Linked DNA regions of Nothobranchius furzeri. The protein of the gene in region 1 binds, or shares a complex with, the protein of each later gene. Links are inferred from orthologs where the notes say so. Each region holds a gene or a part of one and is shown on either strand. Other genes may lie near its edges.

Region 1 (3,928 bases):
AAATGCTTCACGAGTTCGCCAACGTGTTGCTTTGTAAAAGTCTCACCCGTCCTCAGGTGTTGGACATCAGACATGAAGTGTATCAGGTGTTCAGGTCAGATTTTAATACGAAACATTAAAACACACACACACACACCATGGATCGGCCAATCACAACCTGTCTATTTTCTATACGGCTCCCGTTTCCTGTTGTCTCCGTCTTTTCTTCTGTCTTCGTCCCACTCCCTCTCTCTTCGTCTTTTGTCTCTGTCCATCTCTTGTCTCCTATAGTCGTCTCTTCTGTCCTTGTCTCTGTCCACCTCTCTCTCACAGTTCCTCCACTTGTCTTCATTCCTGTCTGTCCCCTTTCCTCTCTCCGTGTCCCTCGTCCTCTGCCCTGCAGGCACCTCCTTGTGGTTGTACTTGTCGTAGGCGGCGTCTTGCTTCTCCTCTTTCAGTCTGAAGACTGCAGGAGGAGGAGAAGGTGATGAAGAGGGAGCTCTGCTCTTCTTCCTCTTCTCTTTCTTTTTTTTCTTCTTCTTCTCTTTCTTATCTGAGACAGAAAAGGGAAATAAGTCCACCTGGTCCTAGATCAGGTGACTTTCAGGTAACAGGAAGTGACCTCACCTTTTTTGGGCTTCTTCGCAGGTACGACGCACTGCTCTTCTTCCTCAGAGGAAGAGGGGACAACAGTAGGACCTTTGGGAGCACAGCCCTCTTCTCTGAGATGTTTGGTCACATCGTCCATGTCCTCGTTGTCTTTGGGAGGACGATAATTTTTAACGTGATCCACGCGGATAGTTCGACCTTTAATCTGAACGTTTAAACAACAACAAAAAGATTTTAGCTAATTGTCTCATCAGAGACCATGTTGATGCCGCTGTGGGCCAGCAAGGAGCGGCGCTGGGTCCACACCAGGACCTGGTGAGGACAGGAAGTCACCTTTATGCCATTGAAGTTGTCCACTGCCAGGATGGTGCTCCTCTGGTCCTCATAGCAGATGAAGCAGAACCCTTTAGACTTCCCCGTCTTCTTGTCTCTCACCAGGTTGATGTTGACGATCTCTCCGTACCTGGCAGGTTTGTCGAGAGGAGACAAACGTCACTGTCATGTCAGCTATAACGTAAAGCAGGTGAGACGTAAGCATGTACGTACTGGGAGAAGACACAGATCAGGTCTCCTTCAGTCAGCTCGAAGGGGAACCCTCCTGCAGGAAACGAGACCTCGTAAGCATCATCAGAACCAAACAAACCCACTTCAACAGTTTCATTCATGAGATCCCTTTTTATGTTGTTAATGAACAGAAGCAAATCGTCTCCAAAAGCCCAAAACACCAAACTCATCCCAACGTCTCCACGTGTGAAGGGCTGGGTTTGAGGAGTTCTCACCGATGAAGATCCAGGCACTGTCCCGGTACTCTGTGTGCCAGGAGACGGTCTCGCTGATGCCGAGGTCAGCCTCGCGCTCATTCAGCTCGTTAATCAGCTTCACCTTCGTTAGAGGACTGAAAACACACAAGTTGCTCAGTAAATCGTCCCGTTAGGGACTGGACCTGATTCTGACTCAATTGGAGTTTTATTGTGAAAAGCTGTCAGGACAATTTAGAAAGAAAAACTGCTTTTTGTTTGGACTACAGAGAAAAAGAGTCGAGCTTTTCTATTCAACCCCAACCTTGAGCCTGACCCTAATGACCCTTCAGCAGCAGCAGGCATAATCCTGTTCCTCCAGCAGGACCACGGTGTTCCTGGTCGAGCTGCTCCGTTTCACTTGTTGGCTTGATTTAAATTTGACATTTTAATTCTGAGGGCTGTTGCCTTGCAGCAAGGAGGTCCTGGGTTTACATCCCAGCCCGTCTTTCTGCATAGAGCTTGCATGTTCTCCCTGTGCATGCGTGGGTTCTCTCCGGGTACTCCGGCTTCCTCCCACAGTCCAAAAACACGACTGTCAGGTTGATTGGTCTGCCTAAATCATCCTTAGGTGGCTGTGCATGGTTGTTTGTCCTGTGTGCCTCTGGGCTGCCCTACGATGGACGATGGACTGGCAACCCATCCAGGATGTACCCCGCCTGCATGCCCAGAGACTGCTGGAGATAGGCACCAGCCCCCCAGAACCCTGTGAGGATATGCGGGTTCAGACAATGGCTGGATATACATGTAAATGTGTCCCCTTTGACTTCCGGGGTAAATACGATCGGAGTGGTGTGTTTTATTAGTCGAATGATCTTTTTTTTTGCAGCAGACGTAGAAACATTCATGAGAAAAAGATAACACCACATATGACCAAGCTTGTGGTCCTGTCTTCATCAGCAGTTGACATAAATTATTAGTCAACTTTATCAGACACACTGGTCTAGAATAAAACACGTAGTAGAAGGTCAGGGGTGTAAACAAAACAATAGCCAACCTACACATGATCAAATGTCTTCTTGAAGCATCAAAGATACATGCTACATCCCAAACACAACTGGGTGTTTATGTTTTATTACATGCTCTCTCTGGTTTTTAAGGAAAAAATGTTAAATTATCTGTTTTTTGAGCAGAATCCGATCGGCTACGAGTAGGAGCTAGCTAACAGCTAGCATGCTGCACCAGGATCAGTCATCAAACCGCAGAATAACGAACTCGCTCTTTTTACTTTAACTACACGACAAGAAGTAGAACAGTGTTGTGTCGGTGGTTCGTGTCATTTATGAATACATAAATGTACTTACTTCATAGTTAGTTACAGAAATTAGGGCACAGATCAGACGTTTTATTTGTTGAGGTAGACCACTTCCGTTTGGTTCGTCTCTGCTGCCCTCTGCAGTTTGGAGATCTAAACTACAAGCGATCATTAAACATGTGCAGATTATTTCTCTCGGGTTTATATAACACACCCAAACCATCTAGGTTGATGTATCTGAAGCAATTTCTTACGTAGCTATGAGTTCACTCATCGTGAAGTTAATAAATATAAAGTTATTAATGCAATCCTCATTCAACCTCCTGTCCACAAGGGAGCGCTGTGGGGCTACATGCTAACGGAGCCGTGTCGTAAACCGTAGCTATAACCTGAATATAAACCCAAAACCTTTCTGTCAGGTTAGCTTTGTAACCCTGCAGACAATGAGCTTATCTGGTTGTATTCAGCGTTTCTGAAAACTGCGGCCCTGTGAGTTATTAAAGTTTATCTATAGCTTACTGCTAGCCAAAGCAGCACCAGCCGTGCTTTCATTTCCTTTGAAGTTCTGTTAAAAATAGCCGCAGTAAGATCTGGTTCTTCCAGGTAGACCCCACACCTTCCGCAGGCGAGTACAGCAGCTGTAACCCCTCACAGATCCACCTTTCCGTTAGCGGAACTTCTGTAGTTTTATCTGCAGGTTCTCACCAGTACACAACAGTGCTGTTAACACTTATAATACAATAAATTAGATAGGATTTGGCTTTATTCCAACTCTGATAAACATGTTGTAACGTGACGGAAGTGGTCACTTTTATTAAATGATCAATAAGGTGTGATATTCCATATAAATATTAGTTATCATTATCATTAATCTTGTGCTTGTGATCTTCCTTTCAGGAGGATGATCTCTCAGGTCTTCATCCTGTCCTCCAAGGGGGACCATCTCATCTACAAGGACTGTATCCTTTTGCTTCCAGTCCCGTGAGACTTTACCCTATCAGGAGTTAGAGCTTAACCCAAGCCAACAATCAGACCGAGGCCAAAGAGGAAACGATGTGGTCAACATCTTCTATGAGAAGGTCACAGCGCTGACTGGAGACCAACCTCTGGTCGTCACGGTAACGCCTCCACAGTCTGGGACACATTTAGACCCAAACTGTTGTGTTGTTTTGAGTTCTGATTTGACCCAAACACGAAGAGTAGGTCAAACCAGAACCACTAGATTAGAAGTCACATCAGGATGAAGCAACGATGTTTCGGCGTCTGTTTACTGTCTGAGGAACTGGAC
Region 2 (3,500 bases), on another chromosome or scaffold:
CTGCTAATAGAAATGTAATTGTGTATAAATGATACTAGTATGATGTTTACATAATTTCTATTCTATTTTTGTTTTTTCCTAGTTCTTAAAGCTAACTGGGGTGAAGTGGATTTTGTGATAGAATAGAGATTACAGTTTGGCTAGTTTTAACACTTGTTTTAATAAAAAATAAAGTTTGTGTGTAACTGTACTCATTATTGCTTGTTCGTCTCTTGCAATTTAGATAAATGATATAACATTAAGCTCATGGTGGTTGAGTCTCAAGCAGTAGGGAGGCGGAAGCAAGCCAATGGAGCTCCGTGCCCACTGATCCCACGGGACTCACTGAAGACACCGGAACTGTACTTGCAGTGTTGGGTTTTGATGCACTCTGTATTGTGGTTATTTGTTTAACCCCTGAAGTGTAGACTGTGGGGAGACTGGGGCAAATGGGGCGGGGTAAAAAGTAGAGCAGTAGTACAAATATGATCACAAAATGCTGATTATTTTAAAATTATTTAGGGATTTACAACAGAATTATTGCATGCAGTTTTTTGTTTACATTGCTAGAAATGTCTCCCCTCAGCTAACTTGCATTCTCAGTTTCAAGAGTTCAGTACAGACTGAGTAAATAATTAATTAAAAGTTTCTGAGTCCAGTATTGTAGACGGCATTGTGTATGATTTAGATCTGGTTAGCTAGATTATCCCAGGTTTAGTCTAGACAGGGATAGATGGTGGGAAGCCCCATGTGTGGGACCCTGCCTCCTTTTTATGTTTTCTATTATTTCAACGGCTTTGTCTCTTTTTCTTTCCCCCTTTATTGTGTATGTTGCAGCATCCTGATAGTAAGATGATGCAGATCAACCTGACAGGGTTTCTGAATGGCAAGAACGCCCGTGAGTTCATGGGAGACCTGTGGCCCCTGCTGCTGAGTGCCCAGGAGAACATTGCTGGCATCCCGTCTGCTTTCCTGGAACAGAAGAAGGAGGAAATCCGACAGAGACAGGTGATGCGTCTTTAGAACCTCAGAACTTTATATGAAAGTGCACTTCCTCAGACTTTACGGGATAAACAGACACTATAAATGGAGTAAAAAGAATGCATGTAAAATTTTATTTTATCCAAAATAAAATCTTCATAAAAAACAAATTCATCTTATTCAATAAAATGTATTTATTGCCACCCCTATACAACGTTGACAATGTAATTAATCAGGTAAATAATACGTTTTAATCCTGATGGAGAACGTTTTGGAAAACACAAAATTTTACACTTGAGGTACATTTTATTTTGAAAACGGCAGCTTAGTCCGAGTTGTCCATGTTTGTTAGTATATTATTCAGCTATAGTTTAATATTTGACAGATTGAACAAGAGAAACTGGCTTCCCTGAGAAAGGTGGATGAGGACAAGAAGGATAAAGACACCAGAGAGAGGGCTCAGTCCAAGAGCCCAAGAAGGTGGGAGGTTTTTGTTTTAAATGTGAATCAAACTTCTTCTGTTGTTAAATTTACTATAGTGACATAGATTATCCCAAAGGTATAACATGTTTGGAACTAATTATTGTTTGATCACGATCACTGGGAAACATCCGTTCATATTAACGTCTGTTCTGTTCCTTTGGTCAGGAGGAAAACCAGGTCACCATCACCACGACGAAGGTCGCCTGCCAAACGGGAAAGAAAACGCAGCCCGTCACGCTCCCCAAGACGCAAACCCAGTCCGCTCAGTGCAAACTCACCCGCCCCACCTCTGATGCAGTCTTCCACTAGAGCCTCACAGCAGCTTGTTGAAGCTGATACTTCAGAGAAAGAGCCGACTGAGCCGGTTATCCAAGAAGCTTCTTCTACTGGGTTTGTGTCTCTGTGTGTCCTACCTGTAGGATTTGGATTGTAACATGTAATGACAAAAATAAATGCTTTTCTTTTCTAGTGATGCAGTGGTGGAGTTGGTAAAAGCTGACTCAGTTTCTGAGGTCAAAGAAACATCCCCAGAAAAGTCTCACAAGAAAGAGGAGAGGCCGAGATCTCGTGAAAAGGACGTGAGGAAGGAGAGACCTCACCATCGTTCACCCTCCCCGTCTCATTCCCGCTCTCACAGACGACGCTCTCGCTCAAGGTCTTTATTAAAATATCATTTTACTCTGTACAAAAAAAGGTATTTGTTTTTTAAGTTGATCGTTTTCCTCTCTTCTGTATCAGGTCGTACTCCCCTCGTAGAAGACAAAGTCCCAGAAGGAGAATGTCTCCTCGACGATGGAGTCCTCCTAGACGCGGCCCGGCTGGCTCTAGACATCGACCTAGGCGTTCCCCAGTCCGCAGGTCAGTGAGGTGCAGGGCAGCTTTTACAGATTGTACCTGAATCTCATGACGACAGATGCTTTAATAATGTCTTTCTAATTTTTCGCATTTCCTTGTTAGGAGACGCTCTCGTTCTGCCTCGTTTTCTGGCAGCAGCTCCTCTGGTTCACGTTCACCCAAAAAGCCTGTGAAGAGAATATCCCCCACGCCCCCCCGTAAACAAGTCCGCCGTTTTGACACGTCTATCAGTCCCGCACCAAAGGACAAGCGATCGCTGTCTCCACGAGCAAGAAGAGGCCGGAGGTCTCCTTCCCCTCTCATGTCATTGGGTATGACTCGACACGTTAGCTTTAGCCTCCTAGCTGTTTCATTTTTAATGTTGATTGATAAAATATCTAAATGAAACTTAGATTTATAAGTTATAAGAAAAGACAAACCCTTCCCTGTAATTCTACTTGTTAAATGTAACCATTGTTAAAGAGCAAGTCTCCCCCAAATCAACTTTTTTTGCTGATAAACTACATAAATTAGTCGAATCGTGCTGTAGACACGTGTAGTCAGTAATTTGGCACTTTAATGCTTCTTAGTTAAAATTTAAATATTCTGACAAACTGTCAAGTAAAATCTCTGCACTACAGTTCAATTTAAATCTGCCATCACTGTTAGCTAAGAGGTACACAATGACGTTAGCAGGTACATAATGATGTCACAATGCTTTTGTGAGCGCGTGTGTGTGTATTTGTTAGCGGCTCCGGCCTTTCGATTTGCTATGCAACAGCATTTGTGGCATTTTTCAAACATGGAGTGGAGTAAGTTTCTTGTAGGGGGTGACTTGATCTTTACAAGAAACTTACTCCACTCCCACTTCCTGTTTGAAAAATGCAACAAATGCTGTTGCCTAGCAGACCGAGAGGGCGGAGCCGCTAACAAATACACACGCTCACAAAAGCATTGTGACATCCTATGGTACCAGCTAACGTTCTAGGGTACCTCTTAGCCAATAGCGATGGCAGATTTAAATTCAACTGCAGTGCAGAGTTTTTACCTGACAACGGCACAACACTGACAGTTTTAGGCAGAAAATTAAATTTTTTACTAAAATGCACTTAAGTGCAAAACTATTGACTACACGTGTCTGCAGCACGATTAGACACACATTTATATAGTTTATCAGAAAAAAAGTTGATTTGGAGGTGACGTGATCTTTAAATTAACTTGGT
Region 3 (4,198 bases), on another chromosome or scaffold:
ACAATTATGCGCGCGCGCACACACACACACACACACACACACACACACACACACACAAACACACACACACACCTAAGGAATTCAGACAGACCAATTAACCTAACACTCAAGTTTTTGGACTGTGGGAGGAAGCCGGAGTACCCGGAGAGAACCCACGCATGCACAGGGAGAACATGCAAACTCCATGCAGAAAGATCCCAGGCCGAGAAGCAAACCCAGGACCTTTATATATATATGCATGGTGGCGCAGTGGTTAGCACTGTTGCCTCGCAGCATGAAGGTCGCAGGTTCAAAACTCGCCTTTCTGCGTGGAGTTGCGTGTTCTCCCCATGCATGCGTGGGTTTCCTCCGGGTACTCCGGTTTCCCCCACACATCACAACATGCCCTACAGGTTATTAAAAAAAAACTTGTACGTCGCTTTGGATAAAAGTGTCTGCGAAATGAATAAACATAAACATACACACACACACATATATATATATACACACACACACATATATATATATATATATATATATATATATATATATATATATATATATATATATATATATATATATATATATATAGAAAGAGAGAGATAGAGAGAGAGAGAGAGACTCAAAAATGTAAGCCTAACTAAAATAGGTTGTTTAAAATGTAAATAGTTTGTACTTACAGACACTCCGTATTTAAGGGCCAGGCCCTGCAAAGTCTCTCCCGGTTGGACGACATGTTCCACGACTCTGCGGCGAACCGGAGACTGTGAAGGTCGGATCAAACTGCCGTAAGATCTGGTTCGGCTTCCGCGAAGGAGGCCCCCTCTCCCGGGAGGCGATGGCTCTCGCTCCCCGGACATTTTGGTGTATCATTTGTGTTTAAACCCGTCCAAGGTGCGGCAGAATACAGAGAGCTGTAAACTTTAGCTTTTACCAGAGAAACATGTATGTAAGAACTAGCACACGACCCAACTATTCAAGCTTCTTTCCTTTTTAAACCTGCTATTTTAAGCTTAGCAATACAGCACCTGCAGCACACACAGGGCCTCTGATGTAAAAACCCCGTTAAACTATATGATAAACCTATTTTACACACCTGAAAAGTTATCGTGAACTTGTTAGCATTTTCTCGTATCTCGTGAAGTCAGCAGCAGCAGTAGCAGCTACGCTGGTTGCCATGGCTGCCTGGGCTGGTCACATGATTCTTAACAAACGGTGCGTTTAATACAATACGAATAACAGAAATCACTTTAAAGTTGTTCGAATTCGTTTTAGGAGTACCTAACGTTTAAACTGTTTCTGCACTTGAGCAGTCTTTTTTAATGATAATTATGAGCGACAAATAATGGATATGATTCAGAAATGTTTGTGCACACTTTAGTTCAAAGCTGAACTCCGTTCTAAATTTGGAGGTTAGAATTTCCCATGCGTCGATTCTTCTGTGAACGCATCAGCAGGGCTAGCCTAGCATTGACAAAAAGCAGCTAATCTGGTTCCAACTTCAGTTTAAGAGTATATGTCATAGCAATGTCTTTTAAAAGAGAGGGGAATGACAAGAGTCAACTCAACATTCTTAAGGTTAAATATTGTTTTATACGTTGTCTGTTTCATTAAATATTATACGTTTGTGTAGTTAGCATCATGTTAGCATCCTGTTAGCTTCCTGTCCTGGGAGCACTCACTATTTCAACTTTGTTGACATTTTTCAGAAAAGGCGTGTGGCCGATCTGCTGTCTCATTTTATTCCTGAAGACGAAGCTGCGCTGCTGAAAAATGGAAGGTGAATTTCGGCTTGACTCACGTTCGGAAAAGAAACAGACATGTTGTTACATTAATAACTGAAAACGTGTGTGGTTTTTTAGATATACTTGTCTGGTGTGCTCCTACCGTCCCGTGTTTGATACGGTTGATGTGCTGACCGTCCACAGGCAAGGGAAGAAGCATCTAGAAGGTAAAAGTGAGCTTAAATGTGTCATTCCCTGTGGGTAAGGGATGAGGTTTGGAAGAACTTTTCTAAGTCAGGTGTTATGATTTTCTTACATTGTCTGACATCAAAGAAACACTTGAAAGTATCTGATGATATTGTGGGAAGACAATAGAACATACAGTCTGATCAATTTGTTTATTACAAATCATTAAAACAACAGCACGTGGTTTTTACTCAAAATCCAAGAACTTCACCCTGAGTTAAAGTATGGAAGAGGATTAAGGCCACTGAAAATAAAACATATGAAAAGAAAGACATCAGATTTTTCCCCTCAGAAATCTGGCTTTAATCTCAGAATTATTAAAGTCACAATCAAGAAAAAAGTCAGAATTCTGAGAAAAATGCCAGAAATCAGAGATTAACTCATTAACTGCCATTGACGACTAAAGTCGTCATTTGCATTTTTTTTACTATGTGGGCGTCGGAACGAGCCCCCGCACCGTGAGAACAAACATTCCAGCTATAAGCTGATCTTCATTCGTGTACGTCACACGCCACGTGATCAGGAAGCAGAAAATCCATGTGTTAGGAGATCGTTTTGGGCCACAGCTGTAAAAAAATAAGTGAGGCGCAAACCGGAAAAGCTTCTGCCGATCACAGTTCGACTACAGATTATGTAAGAATGGATAACACTCGAAACATGTAGATTCTGAAGAAGAAGAAGAAAATATCATTTCTATGGCGCCTCTCAAGATAAAAATCACGAGGCGCTTCACAAAAACAAAAAAATGTAAAAAATATAAAAAAGCATTTAGAAAATGTTTAAAAATTTATTTCAAATGAGCAAAAATAGACAATTGGGATTTAAAAGAAAACAATTTTAAGAAAGAGAGAGTGAATAGGAAAGAGGGAAATCAGTGGATCCTGAGGAAGGTGGAATAGGTGGGGAGAGCAGAATAAAGAGAGAGGGGTTGAAGAAGGCCATACAAAAGCCAGCTTGAACAAGTGAGTTTTCAGCTGCTTTTTAAAGGAGTCCACTGATCTCAGGCTCAAGGAGAGAGAGAGTTCCAGAATCTGGGGGCCACAGCAGCAAATGATCTGTCACCTTTGGTCTTTAGACTGGTGCGTTGCACAACCAGTAGGCTTTGATCACTGGACCTCAGGGACCTGCTGGGGGTGTAGGGACTAAGAAGATCACCAATGTAAGATGGTGCTTGTCCATGTAAGGCCCTATAGACCAGAACCAGAATCTTGAAATGAACCCTGATTCTGCCTGATGTAAGAGGTGAGTCTACTCTTCGTTTTGTTAGTTTTGGCGTTGACATCATCCTAGAGCACAACGTTCATTGACTCTTAAAGAAACAGTAGAAACACTGAAAAACGCTGGCTGCGAAGGGCTTTTCTGATCAGAGAATGGCAGGAGTGTGTCCAGGGAGTGCCCTGGGGTAGCAAATGCCACCCTTGAAATCCCAGGTGCCACCCCACCGAGTTCCATATAAATTGACTTTACATTCTCCACAAAAGGCTTAGGGTTACAATACAATAACCATAGGGGCCACTCGTGCATAAACAAGTGCCCCACCTGGGCCACCCCATTTTAAAGAGCTTGGACACGCCACTGGAGAACGGCTGGCAGTTAGTGAGTTAAAGTCAGAATTCTTTTTTTAAATTTTTTTTCTTCAGTGGCCCTAATTATCTTCAGTATTAGAAAAGACAAAACAAAAACAATCCATAATTACTTGTATACCAAAAAGTGTTTAAAAACCTGAGCAACAAAGAATTAACAGCTGTAAATTAATCATATGCAACTTGTGATGCATTTTAAATATCAAAATGCATACTAAAAAGGGGTTAATAGCTTGTTTTGATTATCGATATTAACATCGCTACACCACTGTACTATAGTTACAGTGGGAGTCATGGCATGGGTGGGGACTTATTTCATTCACACTTCCTGTTAGGAAAACACTTCTGAAAGAGGTGTCACCTGGTGGACCAAGAGAGCGACTCAGAGGCAGTGATAGACAGCACTCCCCTCAACCCCCTCTGCGTGCGCTGTCGGAGTTTCTCTGTCGAAAAATTAGTCATTAACAAGTGCACACGCATGCTCACAGTAGACTTACCTTTCTGCAGTATTCTGGAGAATTTCCTGTTAACTGCGATCATTAGATGAAAAGGGGAGGAGGGCTTTTTTTTAAGGAGGCGAGCGATTCAAAGGCTCTTTAAAGGGACTTTATGGAGTTTTGAATTTTTATGCTCGCGATTGCCCCCTCAGGCCAAAAGCGTAACGGC
Region 4 (4,293 bases), on another chromosome or scaffold:
ACTAGGATAAATATGCAGTAAAATGCTTTTCCGTGGGTAAATGTACAAATTTTACTTGCTAAAAGGTTACAATACACAATATAAATGAAAGAGGTGGGACTCAAAATTGAATAATACTACAAAAAAAGGGCTTCAATGGGGCAAAGCACAGCAAAGGTTCAGTCAAGAAGAGCAACACTGAGCTGAAATCTGTTTATTTCATACAAAATAAAAACAGTGATAAATTGTAGAGCAAAAGACTGCAAAGTAAACCAAAGCATAGTAAATCCAAAAGATGACATCAAACAATGAAATTTAAAACAAAATAAGTTATCGTCTCTTCTGGAAAATGTTGCCTCTCCCCATTCCACCACGACCTCGTCCTCTTGCAGCCACTGTTAAAAGTAAAAATAAAAAGTCAAACTCCAAAAAAAGGTATCTCTTTGGTCTGGAAGAAATGCCCCCCCACAAATCCCTATTTTCCCTACTCAAATATTTTGACTATGTTGGACTTCTACAAGAGAAGAAATTAGACAATACCATTAAACATTCCTTTGAAAAAGCCTTTTTTTCCCTTTATATTAGATAAAAAAGAATTGGGATCTGTCTTTCAAACCATTCCACCTCAGAAAATGTGAGAAGTGTCCACATAGAACACTGTTGTTACCTGTAAAAAAAAGTAATTAACAACTATTTAAGAGCCAAGCAGCTAAAGAGGGAACTAAACTCTAGCGCTGTCTCAGCATCTGGAGAAATTGTCCAAATGCTTCTCACTCACCTTGTGCTTTAAGAATAGCTGCCTTTCCTCTTCCTGCCCCAGAGCCTTGGTTCTTGTTCTTCATACTCTTTAACATCGGAGCATTCTTTAACATGTCCGGTAGGATCAAAAAGCGGATCTTGCTGCCGCGAATGTAGACCTGTTCCAACTGTGCAACCCGGCCATCGCGGTAGGTCACGGTGATGTTGGACATCTGTAGGGACAAATTCAAGTTTAGGTCCACAACAGGTGAAATGACCGTGTGAGCATCCATTAATCCAGTTCTGTTACTTATCTGGATCTTGGTGCACACAGGTTACCAAACTAGCATGGCTCAAATGTAAATTAACATTTCAGTTTATTCAACCCTTATAAAAATGTGTGCTGAAATAGAATCCAATTGAAGAGTGATGTTACTTTAGACTGTTTATTAAATTATGATGCAACAACAGAGTTAAATAACTGACTGAACTGGGTAAATCATGAAAGCTAAAGACCAACTTAAAATGAAAACCCAACATAAAAGCCTTTCTGATAAGAATGCTTTAATGAAACACTTTTACAAAAAAATAAAACTCTTCACACCAAGCATCCATGTACACCATTGTTTGGCCAAACGTTTTGCAATTTAGGGGAACACTAATCCCAAACACAAATTAGTTTACCAGTAATTACACAAACAAAAGCTTTTATGACTACATACCCCACAAAAAATCCACATTAACAGAACACCTTAAATGCCAAATTTACTGACCCAAGTTATTGTGAGTGCACAAAATAAAAATTAAATATTTTTTTTAATTTAACCCATTAAAAAGCTGCAAGAAAGGCAATTTGCAAGAGAAATAAAAACAAAATTTATTCAGGCAGCAGATGGGATTGAAACAAGCACTGACTGGATGTTTATGATCAACAGTATTTTGAAGGCTTTTCATTGACACTTTTCTTGACAATTAAAAATCACTGGAACCCTTTTAAACCATACTGCTAAACAAACCAACCTGGCAGTTCATATTGTCCTCTGCTTCTATCAGCTTGCCCCTGTACACCTCTCCAGTGTTGGTCTCACAGGTCACAATGTGACCCTCTGCCTCATGCAGGACCTTGATTGGTACACCGATGGACATGTTTCAAAGCTTTTCCTGGAACACAACACACAAAGCAAAAGATTATACGTGCTCACCCACAGAAATGTCTGCTCTTAAATATTGGCAACCCAAATCCATTTAACTTTATTGGTTAGCCGGGTTGCCCAGTTTCCAGCACTGAAATCTACAATCTGCATTACAACTAGTAGGAGAAGCAACAGAATAAGGCGAGTGAACTTTTTCATGACTGTGGATTAATACTAGTCACTGAAATTAAGACAAATAAGGAAAGACGCCCTGGGAAAACAGGTTTTGTGCAAAAAGCCATAACAAAAGAAGTGTTGTGAACCCGAACGCTACATTAATTGAAACTTTCATGTGGGACATAGTATTTAGACTTAACTAAAATGAAGGTGTTTTTATTATTTAGCATGAATTTACGCAGTAATACACTTTATAACATTACTAGAGAATAAACGATTTCGCTTGGGTATTCTCTTTTTTTAAGAGTCTGGTGGAGAATGTTTGATAGCATTCTAACCGCTAGCTCAGTTAGCCATACTAGCTAGCAAGGCTACAGGACAAATTTATCTAGAAACTACCATTAAACAATTCCAAACAGTAAATATGATTGGCCGTAAATGCTATTTACAGTTTACTACGATTAATAAGCATAGTTAAATACCTAAATATTTTACAGTAACATACGGAGTTTTGAAAATGCGCGTAACCTTAGCCATGCTACACATGAACGAAATAAATCGAAATTTCTAAATAACGAAAACCAATAGAAGAATGAGAACTCCGTTTCCTCAAACTAATTAATGTTACTCCTGTAACTTACCTTGACTTGTTCGTAAGAGTTATTTGCTTTATTGTTATTTCTTCTTGAACTGCAACGTGCGTTTGACGCTTTCGGGATCCTTTTGAGCCTTTTTTTCCGCCTGCAACGAAGGGTCACAACGAGTGTTTCCGGTGGCACCTACCGCGATGCATTGTGGGACACGTAGTTCAATAACGCCCATGGTTGAGGACTATTGAGTATGTACAGTCTATGGGACTATTATTTAGTGAAACTGACAAACTCAGCTTCTTATGTAGAATTATTTTTTTTATAAAGACTGAAACACATAAAATTAAATAAAATAAAAACTAAAATTATAAGAAACTATTTACATTTTAATCACGTTTCCTTAATTTATAATCTGTTTTTTACTTGTATTTGTTTTTAATTTTTTATGCTTGAGAAGCACCTCGCGATTTTTATCTTGGGGGCGCTATATAAAAGATTGTTTCATTCTTTCTTCTATAAATGTTGAGTTATGATGGAAATGAAAATTGATTTTCATTCTCCACAAGTAGAACATTGCATTTCTAAGAGGACTGAATATGTGTTTACGTACATCTGACTAAAGTTTAATGAATAAACTTGATTTCCATGATTTTGAAGGAAATCAGCTGTTGACTACATTTTCTGCATCGTCTAATGACGATGGGCAATTTATGCAGCTACACCAGACACTGAACTGTATTGTTTTAAAAAGCAAATGTTGATCCAGTAGCAGGATTGATTTGCATTTTCTTTCAGAAAAATAGAACAGTTTTGCATTACTTGTCATCTTGGCTCCAAGTTGACATTTACAGCTTTACATGGCTTTTCATAAAGCAGCTCAGTGTTAGGTACTTTTTAAATTCCCATGGAACATTGATCCATCATTGAATCACCCACAACAGTATTTTTATGATCTGTATCTCATGCAAATCAAAACAGCATTAGACATAAAAACAAAACATTAAAATGAACTAATTTTATCTATTTTTACAACACTGAGTATGGCCACAGTGTACTGCACAAATGATATGCAAAGAACTAGAATAAACATAAAGTACACATAATATACATACCCGTGTATGTTTGTTCCAGGAGATGTGTCTCGGGGATTGCTACGGGACACATAAAAGTGGCCTAATGCAGGTCTGTCCCACATTGAAAGAGCTTTTTAATGGGGAAAGAGAAGGCATAATGGGATAATAAAAGACATCATCAAATGAATCTTCATTTGATTTCCATTGCATTTGGCTCATTGACTGGCGTCAGCAGCCATGGCTGATCTGTAAACACCTTTCAGTGAGTAGTTTGTGGTTGGGCACTTTACGTGTGTGTGTGTGTGTGTGTGTGTGTGTGTGTGTGTGTGTGTGTGTGTGTGTGTGTGTGTGTGTGTGTGTGTGTGTGTGTGTGTGTGTGTGTGTGTGTGTGTGTGTGTGTGTGAGTGAGTGAGTGAGTGTGAGGAATCTTTTTATGATTTTGATGTGTGCAGGCCAGACCCTGAAAGTAGTGGTAGCATCACAGGTAGTAACAAAGTGGAAATAAGTCCTTTGGTTCAGCTGAAACGTAGCTGGTTTGTGTTCATTGGTGACTTCAGATCATAGGTTGACCTGGCAATGACAAATTGTTGCCTGGCTGCAATC
Region 5 (3,878 bases), on another chromosome or scaffold:
CGGATTGTACTCTACACACACCCACGAACCAAAAGGACAACTCTTGAGTTTTCTAAAGGTAGATGTAGCCCAAACCATAAAGGTCAGGAGACGGATCAATGAAATGCTGCTACGTAATATTACCAGGAGACGCTCCACCGTTTGTGTTAACACGATTTGGTCCGTCTGCTCCAGGAGACGACCATAAGGGCACCTAGCAGTCCTCTCTGAGGACTGACAGCATTTCTTAGCTCCGGTCTGCTACAGCAGATGCATCGTCTCACGGTTCAGACTCTTTTGTTGCACAGGTTGTAATTATTAGTTTAGCATTAAGAGCGTAAAAGTTAGCCTTTTCTTCGGCTCTCTGGGTGTTACTGACGTCAGATGTAAATGTTTTCTTGGTGCTGGTTTTGTCTGCATGTATATTTGAAAGTTTGGACAAAGCAACGTGTTACAAATGTAAAACTTTTACTACAAACCCAGGCCTGCTTCAGTGTTTCAACATGATTGTACAAAAGGAACCGAGGCCATGAACTTTATTAGAAATGTACACAGACAAACACAGAGAGGGTTCTAAAGCGTGTTCTAATCTTCTTCGTCTGACGGTGGCTGGTCGGCTAAAGCGTTGCGTTTCTCCATCTTGGCAATCAGCTCTAGAATAAATGACAATAAAACATCAAGTGTGACTGTTTACTTTGGTTTCTGCTCCTCTTGGATGTTTTTGAGCAAATGCATTTACCTTTAGCGGGGTTGAAGACACCATTGGTCTGAGTGTTGCACACGTAGCAGCGCTTTGACTTGCGATAATGCTGAAGAGCACAGCTCTCACAAAAATAGTGCTTACACCTAAGGAAACAGCGATTACCAGCCGGTAATAAACAAGGACTGAAGGAGAGAAACCATCGCAGTACTTACTTTGTGATGATGGGATTTTTAAAAGATTCTCTGCAGATGAAGCACTTGAAGGGCAAGTCTTCATCATCACTGCTCACCTCATAGTTCTCGTCATCTAGATGAAAACACATCAGAAACTTAGTCTAGCCAGCAAAAGAGAAGATTTCAAGTTCGATTATTTACTCACCATTTGCTCCATATCTCCCTTCCTCCAGTTCCCTCTCAATCTGCCAGCCGTGTTTGTAGTCCGACCTGTCATGGAGGAACTTGCAGCTGTCTAATGGCAACGGATGCAATCATGATTAATAAACAAAACCTTTGACTTCACAGTAGGAACGTTTTAAGAGTTCAGATTGTTTTCACCAACCCCCAAATCCACAGAAACCCGTCTCCTTGTAGTCTTTGCAAATATCCGGTTGGTAGTCCCACCGGACTGTAGCTCTCAGGTGTTCAGGAGCTCGAATCGGTCCTTTTCTGTAGCACAGATTGAACGTAACCTTCAGCATCTATAGGTGAACAACATCTTCTGACTGCATGTGAATATCTCTTGCCTCACCTGACCATGCCTGAAGAGGCATTGCCCATGGTGGTGTCTTTAGGCTTGATGAATTTTTGGTAGTTATTGATGCCACGGTATATTTTATCATCTTCTTTACCTGTTAGCTCCTAATGAGACAGAGGAGGGAAAGCTCAAATGACGAAGGTGAGATTTTGATTATTTCTCATTTTATATTAACCAATAGCGGCATGTCCTACCTCTTGGATTTTCTGACTCCTCTCAAAAATAGCTTGAGCATCCTTGTCTCTCTCTGTGTCCAGCTGATAAGTGGCAGTTGCACCCATGTCTTCAGGCCCCTCGGGTTTCTTTTTATGAAGGCAAGGTACAGTAGAAAGTTTTAAAGTAAATAAAAACAACTGTTCAGGGCACATAGTCATGTGTACGTGGATGAGAATGGTCTGTAGATTGTAAAATAATGTTAAAATTTGCTTTTCTGGTGAAGTTTCAGCCCCTGTATGTTTTGTCTCAACAGCCAGGTTGAGCCATGATGGAAAAAAGATCAGTGTTTGACTTGTACTGTCTGGCTCTGACATTTTTGAATGAATGCAGTCTGAACTCACCGCTGATCGGGAAGACTTGTAAGCAACCGTTATCTTTTTGTCTCCCTTTTCCTCCTCGCTTTCACTAGAAGACACAGCGTCCCTCTCCACTTTTTTTGTCTGAACAAAGAATACATAGATCATTCACGTTGCTGCTTCATAACTAAGTATCTATTAGCTTGCCTGCTCTACCTTTTGAATCATGGGGTTGACTCGAGCATCCTTCTTTTCTTTTCTGACCACAGCAGTCTGTTCAGTGTCACTATCGCCATCTAAAACAAACAAACAAACACACACGCGCACACACACACACACACAATTGGTGTAAACAAACATTACAAAATCTATTACAATTAAACTAGGTTACTTCCCCTCTTTGTTTAAATGTAGCTTTCAGGTGATAAACCATAATGTTTTTGGTCCTGTTTATTATGGAGGATAATATAAACAAACTGTTTGGGTCGCGGTTTTGATCTCCCTGATGAGAAGCCGCTATCAATTCTATCCAGAGGACAGACAACGCTAGTTAGGAGAAAATTACAAGGAAATGTATCTAAATGATAGTTTACTACCTTTATCGCTGTCACTTGCTTTTCGTTTTCTTCCGGAGAATTTCTTGGTGGATTTTTTAAACAAAAACGTACAAGTAGCTGCTTTTGGTTTGTCTGGGTCCGCCATGTTTTTGTTGGTGTAAGAACAGTGGCTGCCAGAGCAGTAGCGCCCCCTGTTGTTCTGGAGGCGAAACGTGACGCGCTCCTTCTGCCAAAATGAGATTCACAACCGTCCATAAATCAAAGTCAACGCGGCTCTGGCTAGAATGGTAAACCTAAAATATTATGTTAGAACGGACGAGGGCCAATGAAAACAAAAGAAAAATACAATAAAAAAATGAACAGAAAGATAATTCTGACTTTAATCTCAGAATTTTCAGATTTAAATCATTATTCTTTGTTTTCAGTGGCCTTAATCCTCTTCCGTAGTACTTGAAATAATTTTTAAAAGGTAATTTTAGTTTTAAACAGAAAAATAATTAACGCATTTTGATTGGACACTAAATGTATAAACGATTAATAAACAAAATACACAAAAATAGCCATTAGAAATGTCGTTGATAAAAAGAAGAAACGATCTTTTACAAGACCGCTCAAGATAATAATCATGAGCAGGCGCTTCACAAGAACAACAACAACAACAACAACCATAACAACAAAAAACAAAAAAAGAAAGAAAAATAAATAAAAACGAATGACATAAATTTGTAAGAAAATTTTATGTTTAACTGCTTTTTGTCTAAATAATCTTTTGACGTAACTGATGCCAACACAATCTGTCTATAAGTGATTAAATGTATTGTTTATGTCAACTTGATAACAAGAACTCAATTAGTTTCTGGCTTTCGAGAGTAGGGTTTTTTCCAACCTCTGGCGGTCAGAGGCGGTTACTACAGTGTTCACATAAAGTTGAACAACACATAACCAATTAGCACTTCCTATAAATCCTTTCAAAATAAAAGAAATAACAAGAGGTCAGAAGGTCTGCAGTTATATAAACTACACAACCGATGAAGCTTAATAAATGTATCATAATTATCTGTGTTAAACAAGATTAAATTAACGCGCTAAAACAAAAACTATTAGCAGCATTACAAACACATCAGATCATACGCCCTCTGGTGGCCTATTGTCCCTCTGCTGTAGACTCAGAGGAACATCAAGTAATTCTTTTTGATTGTGAAATTTAACTAACAAGTTTGTAATTTCTTCTCAAACATTTCAGATATAAAACAATTTAGGCCACTATCAGGTGTCTGCCCTGGGATTGGGAGATCGGGTTTGAATACCGGTCTAGTCATACCAAAGACTTTAACAAGGAACCCAATCCCCCCCCCTGCTTAACACTCAGCTTTA
Region 6 (4,248 bases), on another chromosome or scaffold:
ATCCCGATGGCCGTCTGCACCCCCTGCATCTGCAGCTCAGCCTGTCTCACCTGCTCCTGGCTGCAGCAGTCCTGCAGGAAGACCGAGGCCAGGTTGCGCAGACGGGGGCTCTCTGCGAGTGAGAAGCGCAGCATGCACTGAACGATCCCTGGCTCTGTGATCTGAGAGCAGGTCGCTGGTGTGGTGAGGTTCATCAGGGTGGTGACGGCAGACAGCACCGTCTCCTCCCTCCGGTTTGACAGGTGGTTTGTGATCAAGCTGATCCCATCGTTCTCCAAGATGATGTCTCTGCATCCAGGGTCCATACTGAGGTTACACAGACCCCCTGTCAACACAATATTTGAGTTTAGATGATTTTTACATAAACAAACATGATTTACTGTTTTAGTTGGAGAGATGCTCACCCATCCCAAACTCCACAAAGTTCTCATTCTCTTCGGTCAACATGTCCAGGAACAGGTCAGGAACCTGCAGCTCCCTCAGGTACTCCATGTTCTTTGGGTCATATGCAAAGTTGGCTAGATTTGCCAGAACCTGCTCCTTTGCCTCTGATAAAGAGAAAAAGTAATGAAACAAACAGAGATACCTACATCCACTAATTCACCTTACACCAGCTCATTACAAACAATGATAAACAGAGGCTGCAGCACAGAAACAGTACACATTTATACCACAGGGGGCGCTTTTTACTTTCACATCAAAACACCCTTCAGGCTCAAATGTGGAGCTGACAGTATAAAAATAAGATTTGTCTGTAAACTAGAAAGGCGAGGCAGCTTTATTTGTGTAGCACATTTCATACACTGAAGCTATTCAATGTACTTTCCAGGTGCATGACCAGCATGATCATAAAAGATTAAAATCAACGTGACGACGTAAAACAGCAGCTTTTAAATTCAAATTTTAAATACTCTAATAAAATTAAATGTAAGAAATAAAATAAAAGACAAAGTTAAAGACTGAGCGCAGAAGGTACAGCATGAGAAATAATCCTTCAAAGGCTGATGAATGCATGAAAGTCTTCCATTTTGACTTAAAAGTTACTAGAGTTGGGGCACATTTCAGGTCATAAAGAAGCTGATTCCATCTGTGAGCAGCATAGTAGCTAAAAGCAGCTTCACCCTGTTTGGTTCTGACCCGAGGTTCTACCAGCTGACTGTTTCCTAAGGATCTCAGAGCCCTGCTGGGTGTATATATACAGGAAGGAGATCCAACATGTATTTTGGCCTCATTTATAAACTAGCAGTAGCACTTAGTAATCGTTTCTATAGTTTAATGGCAGCCAGTGTAGATATTTACAACTGGATGGATGGATGTGGAACTAGCGCATTATTTAATTCATCACATTATCTGGCTACTTATTTTTAACACCGTTTTTTTAAAAATAAAAACAAGCAGCTTTCTGCGGTAAAATCCAACAGAAAATGTTTACTTATGGCAGTAATCTCAAAGTGAACTAACATGTAGAATGAACAATCAGAATTTGGTTAAATAACGTCACTTTTTGGTTTCCAAATACTAAGCTTACATTTATTTCATGTCACAACGATACACTTTCAGAATAAAACTTAAAACGCTGCTTAGAATTACAGCTTATTTGATGTATTTGTTCACTTCTACCTGATTTAGTCATGTTTACAGATTCTTTTTCGAAAAATTTTAACTTCATGAAGTCATTTGCATGTATTTGTGATCTTTTTGTCTTCTGAACACAATTCTAATGCTGATAGTCAGCCTTTCTCCTATTGCAATGGATAAAAACTGGTCTAACATATATACAAATGTTCTTTTGACGATTTTTTTTCTCTCACTTCAAATAAATATACTGATGGAGAGTACAGTTTTCGACTGAACAACGGCTTCTGAAAAAGCCCTCTAACGATATAAATAATAGTGATGTGTCAGTCCGAACGAACCGGCTCTAAGAGTCGGCTCTTTGAAGTGAACAACGGGAGCCGGCTCATCATTGGGAGCCGTCCCCTCCCCTCCCCCCTCCCCTCTTGCTTTGGTGAACGCTACAGGCGATTGGTCAACATGTGTAACTGTGTGACCAGACTGTCCACACACAGAGCAGTAGGGACGGGGAAGAGGGAGAATCAGACTCAGACACACAGCAGAGCACATGCAGGTGGAGGTAGACGAGAGGGAATGAGGAGGAAAAAGGTGAGCGAGATAGAGAGGAGAGTGTGATGAAGACGGTGAGAAAATGAGCGCCAGCAGTCGGAAAGTGACAATTTCTTAAAGTGTTCAGTTATTAAATCCATAGAAATTATAAATATTTGATATATTGCATTTTTTTTTACATTAGTAAATAATTTTACATATAGTTTTGCATTATTTTGGTTATAAATGTACTCTACGAAACAGAAAATCTGAGGAGCCATTTGGGAGCCGAAAGAGCCGGCTCTTTCTGGTGAGCTGAGCCATTCCCATCACTAATAAATAATAGCATGCATCTAAACTGAGGGTGTTGAGAGTCTACGTGTTCGTTTTAAAACGGTTTTTATTTTAACTTTGTAGAACACAGATCAAAGGTTATTCCTACCTTCACTGTCAGTGTCCTGAAATTCAGTAACCAGCGTCTGTAAATATTCAAACCGTTCAGGCGCTTCAGCTGACTCATTTCTCTTCATCTTTTAGCAAAAACACATTTAACACTTCAAATAAAATTCACACAGATATCAGATTATGCTGATGTTTAAGTTACTTGACCGTTCATAGCTGATTCAGAGGTTGTTTTCATTTCACGTATGGGTCCGCGGCTCATAAGTGTTCGGAAAAACTGCGCAAGTAGATATTTGTTCCGCTGTTTTATCAAAACTTGTTTGTCCGTGAAGATGTGTTCCCCGTTCACTTTCGCATGATTTAAAGAGTAACGCATTTTTAGCTACACGAAATCGTAACATCGTTGCTATAAACTCGCCTATAACGTTATAAATGCTAGCATTGCTGTCACAATTGTGCAATGAAATACGCGAGAGCTACGCGAGCCGATGAGGAAACACATTTTAAATGGTGTACAGAGATTGATACAACACCGGCAGCTGAGCGGAAGTTAAGGAGCAGAAGGTGTGTTTGTGTTTATGTGCTCGTACAACAGCACATAACGCACGTTGCGGGAGGTCAGCTTAACAAAAACGCTATGTCGCTTTGTTTATTTAAGTAAAACAGCAACAATGAATCACCACCGGCTGTCCGCGAGAAAGCGCCTCGCCAAACCCATTTTGTTCGGAACTCTGCTGGTTGGACTCGCCACTATTTTCATTAACAGGTGAAACTGAGCTTTGCTAACTGCGTAAAAGAAACACACGCACAACACATTTCACTGTAACACCGGTGTGACGGTGAAACTGTCATTGGAGACTGAAGCAAAAATATTAAATACTATGAGTTAGCAGCAAATCGTAAACATATTTGCTTGTCGTTTATGCAGACACAGGTTCCTTGAAGACGTGGTTGAGCTCAAGGCCCAGGAGCGAGAACGCAACTATGCCAGGATGATGGAAGTCCTGGAGAGGAGGGAGAAACAGAAAGAGCTGGTGGAGAAGAAGAAGCAGCAACAGACAGGAAGTGACTGAACATATGAACTTTTTGCAGACGACTGATGCTTTACAGGCCATCAGACATTACAGTCATCCAGTAAATCAGTAAATTATAAGACTGGATGGAAGTTCAGCTGAGCAGGAACCACGCTTTTAAATTTTGACACTCGTGTTGGTCAAGCGGGAGCAGAATTAACCACCATCTACATAAATAGCCTTATTTTTAACTCGAATCATCTTTAATTTGTCTTGTTTTTTTTATCTTTGTGATTACTGTCTGTGATGGGTGTTATATAAATAAAATGTACTTACTATCTGGGAAAAACAGACTAAACCCCTAAGCCAAACAGAAACAGTGGGAGAAAAATATTACTGGATAAACGATTTTTTTTTTTATCAGGGTTGAATTAAAACCAAAGTATCAGGACTTGTATTTTGTCATTAAGGTGTATCAAGTCTGAGATATAAATTTTAACTTCATAATGGAGAGGTTAGAGAAGATTTTGAAGTTTTAATCTCAGTTCAGCTCAAATTAATATGCTAAAGTTTAAACTCCCATTACAAACAAATAAAATTCAATAAAGACTTCAATCACATCTTTTATTGGTGCATGCAATAAAGACATAAACAAAACAAACAATAATTCATATTGCACTTAAAATAACAAAAAGATGTGACTCACAATACAATTGAGGAATGAAGTTGT
Region 7 (3,591 bases), about 22 Mb from region 1:
TCATCACTAAATGAAACAAATCAGCTGTGTTCATGATCTAAACCATGCAGGAAACTTGCTGGAACTAGACTGCAGCGCCAGGTATGTCAGCTCAAGTTCTTCTAAGTTCAACAGATCAGACCAGCAACTGTGAAGCTGCAAGTGGGATATTTTGGCCACAGGGGGCGATAGGGGCTGGGTGGCATTTCATTAACACTGTGAAGGGTTATTTTAGCACATACTGGCTCAAGAAAATTATCTAAAAATATGAACAAGTTACAAAGTATCTTTTAACCCTCGCCACATCCTTGAACTTTTGCAAAACCCATTACCTTTTGCACAAAAAAAGCACTAGGGAGTGGAGGGTTAAATGAAAAGCAACACTCTTCATACCCATTTCTGTGCTGATTTTAGGCACCCCACCCCTAGCATTTTTTATAAAACTTAACTTTTTAAGTTAATTTACCCTTTAAAATTAAAAAATGCACAATCTGTTATTTCTGTGAAATTATGCAAAGTAATTCAAGGGAAAAAAGTCAATGTTTATTCAAATAATGAAAAATGCATGACAGAAATACTGAAATCACATTCTGAAATGTGCTTCAAACTTTCATGATTTACGCAAACAGCAACTGACCTGCAGACAGTACGGTTTCCAATTAGTTAGACTGTAAATAAATGCCAGCTGCAATTAAAATGCTTGAAACTAAAACATTTTCAATTAAAAAAGATCAAATGAAACACACACACAAAGTCCTCTACTTTACATATTTCTCCATAAATTTCTTGTGGAACTCAGAGCGCAGCGTGTCGTTGACAAAACGTTTCTCTTTCCGCGCCTCATCCACTCCTTTGGCGCAGTTTTTGAACACTACGTCATCATCCCACCTAGAAGTACATCAGAATTATTAGTGGTGGTGAAGGAATATATTTGTTTTTCCAAATGCAAACAAACAAAAAACCAACATTCTTGCTGTAACAAGTGAACATAAGAAATACCTTCTCTTGACTCTGAATGTGTTCTGAGTTTGGCTCTGTTGCTGTTGTTGCTGCTGCTGCTGTTGCTGTCCTGCTAAATTTATCAATGGATTTCCACTCAAAATATTTTCCATTCGAATCCTCTCTTCCTCTGCCTTCTGCTCTCTTTCCTAAATAACAAAAGAAAAGCACACGGAGGTTAAGCCATCCTCTATAACATCACTTTTCATTTATAGCCAAAGCAAACACAAACTTAAAACTCTTTACTTTGCGTTCTTGCTCTTCAGCTCGCTCTTTCTTAATTTTTTCAAGTTCAGCCAGCAGGGCTGCAGTGTCGTCATCATCACTTTCTTCATCTGAGTTCTCGTCTTCGTCATCCTGTAATGTAAAAATGGATTAATAACTTTATCCAGTGTAAGTCTGGGATGTATTGCAATGTAAATCCTTACATCAGTGAGAGGGTCATCGGCATCAAGGTTGGCTGCTGGGATCTGATCCAGTCTGGGCCTTTTTGAAGATGATGATGATGAAGAAGATGATGTGGTGTGCTCTGAAGAAATAAAATCAACACAATACAGATTAAAGGAACTATGCCAGAAACCGTTGCATACATCCTTTTTGGATCTAATCTTTATTATGAGTAGAAAAATCCACCTCTTGGTCCCCTCTCTCTGGTCTTCTCACGAGCAGCTACACGCTCCCTCTCCTCCAGCTCTCGGCGAAAATCACGGGCACGCACTTCCTCAGGGGCATCCTGGGTAGGCTGCCTTTTAATTGAGATGAAAGAAACACAGTTTAAGTAGTTCGAATAAATATTTAAGGTTGAGAAACTGGAACCCACTGTTCTGACCTGTATTTGATCTTGGTGTGACCTGGAAGATCCCGACTGGAATACTGCTTAGAAAGAGCACTCAAATCCCCTTCTCCTTTTCCTCTACCCCCTCTCGCCGGCTCAAATGTTGGTCTTGCAGCTGTAGTCATCTTTGATGGCCGTGCTCTGGCAAAACGTAAAGCAGAAAATAACTGACCAATTCATAAATTACAATAAGTAATTTTAGATATACATCATAATAAGTCTAATGTTAATATGAGTTAAAACCTTTAACGATCAGTTTCCTCCTAAATGTTGTTTAAAACACAAGTTAGCTTGATAGCTTCCACCGCTAATCAGTTGCTAACAGGCTAACGTGGGTGACAATGCAATTTAAGGAACATTTCCTATTTTTAAAACCCAATGCAAGATAATTACGAGAGTAAACATGTTTGAAACACAAAGCTTAAAATAAACAACACAATTTAAATACGTTTTTAAAGCAACAACACTTACGAAGCTGCTTCCAAAAGTGAAAAGGAAACGTTCCTGTACACAACGGTGCGTCACTTCCGGAACTAGACGCGTTCAGGAACAATCGGAGAAAAATCGTGCATATTTTGACCGGCATGACAGGACTCCAAGAACCTATTTTACTTGTATTGTTTACGAGGTCGGCTGCGCAGTGGTTAGAGCTGTTGCCTTGGGTTCACTTCCCAGCCTGAGATCTTTCTGCATGGAGTTTGCATGTTCTCCCTGTGCATGCGTGGGTTCTCTCCGGGTACTCCGGCTTCCTCCCACAGTCCTTAGGTGTGTGTGTGTGTGTGTGTGTGTGTGTGTGTGTGTGTGCGTGTGTGTGTGTGTGTGTGTGTGTGTGTGCGTGCATGATTGTTTGTCCTGTGTGTCTCTGTGTTGCCCTGCGATGGACTGGCTTTCTGTCCAGGGTATATCCCGCCTGATTGCCCATTGACCGCTGGAGATAGGCACCAGCCCACCGCAACCCTACGTGGACAAAGCGGGTTCAGACAATGGATGGATGGATGGATGTTTACAAGGTCAATAAAATGTAGTGTTCAAATTAAGAAAACCACAAATCTTGTTTACTACAGTATGATAATTACAGACCAATCTTAGTGCTTCCCCAGTTTTCTAAAGTCCCTGTTGCCCTTTTCAAGCTGGATCTAACCTCCATCTGTCTGCAGATTCCTGCACCCGACTCCTGTTGAAGATCTCAGCTACATTTATGCTGCTCCCTTGTTTTCTCCATTAATTTATTGTTTAAAACCGACCGTAGTCTGTGAACTGATTCTGTAAGTCGTGGGTTAGACACTTACCTCACAACATGACACCATAGTGACTGGTATAATTACGCAATCCTTCGATGAAAGAAGGTCACAGTTTAGTCTTGTATGCGATCATGGTTCAGGTTTGCATTTCATTATTTTCTGACCTCCTGCTATGACATTTTTTTTACCTGAAGCTCATAAATATTCCTGAAAAGTTGAATAAACAGAAATCTTCAGTGCAATGCACCGATATGAAACTTTGGGGCTGATACCAATATCTGATATATCGCTGTTATGGCCGATAACCGATGTTTGCCAATACCGATATACTGACATTAATGCTTCTAAGATCAACAGATTTGTAAAGATTAAAGCTGAATTGACGTTATGTACACACACCACACATGTTTACACTGTTAGATGATTGCAATCACTGTCACATGACTAAACAATTACACATCACCTCCCTCACCCTCTGAAACAGATAAACAAATGAAAACAAGATGGAAAAATTATCAGTTAATATTGGCCCAGTTT

Evidence for each region.
Region 2: rbmx2 (region 1) and srrm1 share a complex: the UniProt entries of both Homo sapiens proteins name them as parts of the minor spliceosome. The link is inferred for Nothobranchius furzeri from reciprocal best matches to the Homo sapiens genes RBMX2 and SRRM1.
Region 3: rbmx2 (region 1) and scnm1 share a complex: the UniProt entries of both Homo sapiens proteins name them as parts of the minor spliceosome. The link is inferred for Nothobranchius furzeri from reciprocal best matches to the Homo sapiens genes RBMX2 and SCNM1.
Region 4: rbmx2 (region 1) and snrpd3l share a complex: the UniProt entries of both Homo sapiens proteins name them as parts of the minor spliceosome. The link is inferred for Nothobranchius furzeri from reciprocal best matches to the Homo sapiens genes RBMX2 and SNRPD3.
Region 5: rbmx2 (region 1) and rnf113a share a complex: the UniProt entries of both Homo sapiens proteins name them as parts of the minor spliceosome. The link is inferred for Nothobranchius furzeri from reciprocal best matches to the Homo sapiens genes RBMX2 and RNF113A.
Region 6: rbmx2 (region 1) and armc7 share a complex: the UniProt entries of both Homo sapiens proteins name them as parts of the minor spliceosome. The link is inferred for Nothobranchius furzeri from reciprocal best matches to the Homo sapiens genes RBMX2 and ARMC7.
Region 7: rbmx2 (region 1) and cwc15 share a complex: the UniProt entries of both Homo sapiens proteins name them as parts of the minor spliceosome. The link is inferred for Nothobranchius furzeri from reciprocal best matches to the Homo sapiens genes RBMX2 and CWC15.

Annotation. Positions count from the first base shown.
Region 1 is NC_091750.1:26,772,697-26,776,624, forward strand, and holds rbmx2 (RNA-binding motif protein, X-linked 2), read right to left. Parts: upstream 2,801-3,928; 5' UTR 2,695-2,800; coding exon 2,690-2,694; intron 1,484-2,689; coding exon 1,368-1,483; intron 1,187-1,367; coding exon 1,135-1,186; intron 1,052-1,134; coding exon 922-1,051; intron 794-921; coding exon 607-793; intron 533-606; coding exon 162-532; 3' UTR 83-161; downstream 1-82. Other genes in the region: ap4m1 (AP-4 complex subunit mu-1), read left to right, coding at 3,538-3,599, 3,673-3,758. UniProt on the Homo sapiens protein: Involved in pre-mRNA splicing as component of the activated spliceosome. As a component of the minor spliceosome, involved in the splicing of U12-type introns in pre-mRNAs.
Region 2 is NC_091758.1:35,723,794-35,727,293, reverse strand, and holds part of srrm1 (serine/arginine repetitive matrix protein 1), read left to right. Parts: intron 1-816; coding exon 817-987; intron 988-1,345; coding exon 1,346-1,440; intron 1,441-1,608; coding exon 1,609-1,833; intron 1,834-1,912; coding exon 1,913-2,098; intron 2,099-2,181; coding exon 2,182-2,301; intron 2,302-2,400; coding exon 2,401-2,609; intron 2,610-3,500. UniProt on the Homo sapiens protein: Part of pre- and post-splicing multiprotein mRNP complexes. As a component of the minor spliceosome, involved in the splicing of U12-type introns in pre-mRNAs. Involved in numerous pre-mRNA processing events.
Region 3 is NC_091745.1:65,775,869-65,780,066, forward strand, and holds the start of scnm1 (sodium channel modifier 1), read left to right. Parts: upstream 1-1,398; 5' UTR 1,399-1,506; coding exon 1,507-1,557; intron 1,558-1,688; coding exon 1,689-1,759; intron 1,760-1,841; coding exon 1,842-1,930; intron 1,931-4,198. Other genes in the region: lysmd1 (lysM and putative peptidoglycan-binding domain-containing protein 1), read right to left, coding at 660-839. UniProt on the Homo sapiens protein: As a component of the minor spliceosome, involved in the splicing of U12-type introns in pre-mRNAs. Plays a role in the regulation of primary cilia length and Hedgehog signaling.
Region 4 is NC_091746.1:48,714,686-48,718,978, reverse strand, and holds snrpd3l (small nuclear ribonucleoprotein D3 polypeptide, like), read right to left. Parts: upstream 2,801-4,293; 5' UTR 2,669-2,800; intron 1,879-2,668; 5' UTR 1,864-1,878; coding exon 1,738-1,863; intron 951-1,737; coding exon 758-950; intron 375-757; coding exon 310-374; 3' UTR 179-309; downstream 1-178. UniProt on the Homo sapiens protein: Plays a role in pre-mRNA splicing as a core component of the spliceosomal U1, U2, U4 and U5 small nuclear ribonucleoproteins (snRNPs), the building blocks of the spliceosome.
Region 5 is NC_091745.1:10,008,494-10,012,371, reverse strand, and holds rnf113a (E3 ubiquitin-protein ligase RNF113A), read right to left. Parts: upstream 2,704-3,878; 5' UTR 2,650-2,703; coding exon 2,544-2,649; intron 2,244-2,543; coding exon 2,164-2,243; intron 2,092-2,163; coding exon 1,993-2,091; intron 1,738-1,992; coding exon 1,630-1,737; intron 1,540-1,629; coding exon 1,430-1,539; intron 1,348-1,429; coding exon 1,241-1,347; intron 1,151-1,240; coding exon 1,061-1,150; intron 989-1,060; coding exon 895-988; intron 826-894; coding exon 719-825; intron 633-718; coding exon 565-632; 3' UTR 501-564; downstream 1-500. UniProt on the Homo sapiens protein: Required for pre-mRNA splicing as component of the spliceosome. As a component of the minor spliceosome, involved in the splicing of U12-type introns in pre-mRNAs. E3 ubiquitin-protein ligase that catalyzes the transfer of ubiquitin onto target proteins.
Region 6 is NC_091756.1:50,514,990-50,519,237, reverse strand, and holds the start of armc7 (armadillo repeat-containing protein 7), read right to left. Parts: upstream 2,801-4,248; 5' UTR 2,768-2,800; coding exon 2,708-2,767; intron 2,634-2,707; coding exon 2,546-2,633; intron 549-2,545; coding exon 405-548; intron 326-404; coding exon 1-325. UniProt on the Homo sapiens protein: As a component of the minor spliceosome, involved in the splicing of U12-type introns in pre-mRNAs.
Region 7 is NC_091750.1:48,553,601-48,557,191, reverse strand, and holds cwc15 (protein CWC15 homolog), read right to left. Parts: upstream 2,436-3,591; 5' UTR 2,285-2,435; intron 2,200-2,284; exon of another isoform or gene 2,057-2,199; intron 1,955-2,056; 5' UTR 1,939-1,954; coding exon 1,808-1,938; intron 1,725-1,807; coding exon 1,612-1,724; intron 1,508-1,611; coding exon 1,407-1,507; intron 1,336-1,406; coding exon 1,225-1,335; intron 1,128-1,224; coding exon 979-1,127; intron 868-978; coding exon 738-867; 3' UTR 501-737; downstream 1-500. UniProt on the Homo sapiens protein: Involved in pre-mRNA splicing as component of the spliceosome. Component of the PRP19-CDC5L complex that forms an integral part of the spliceosome and is required for activating pre-mRNA splicing.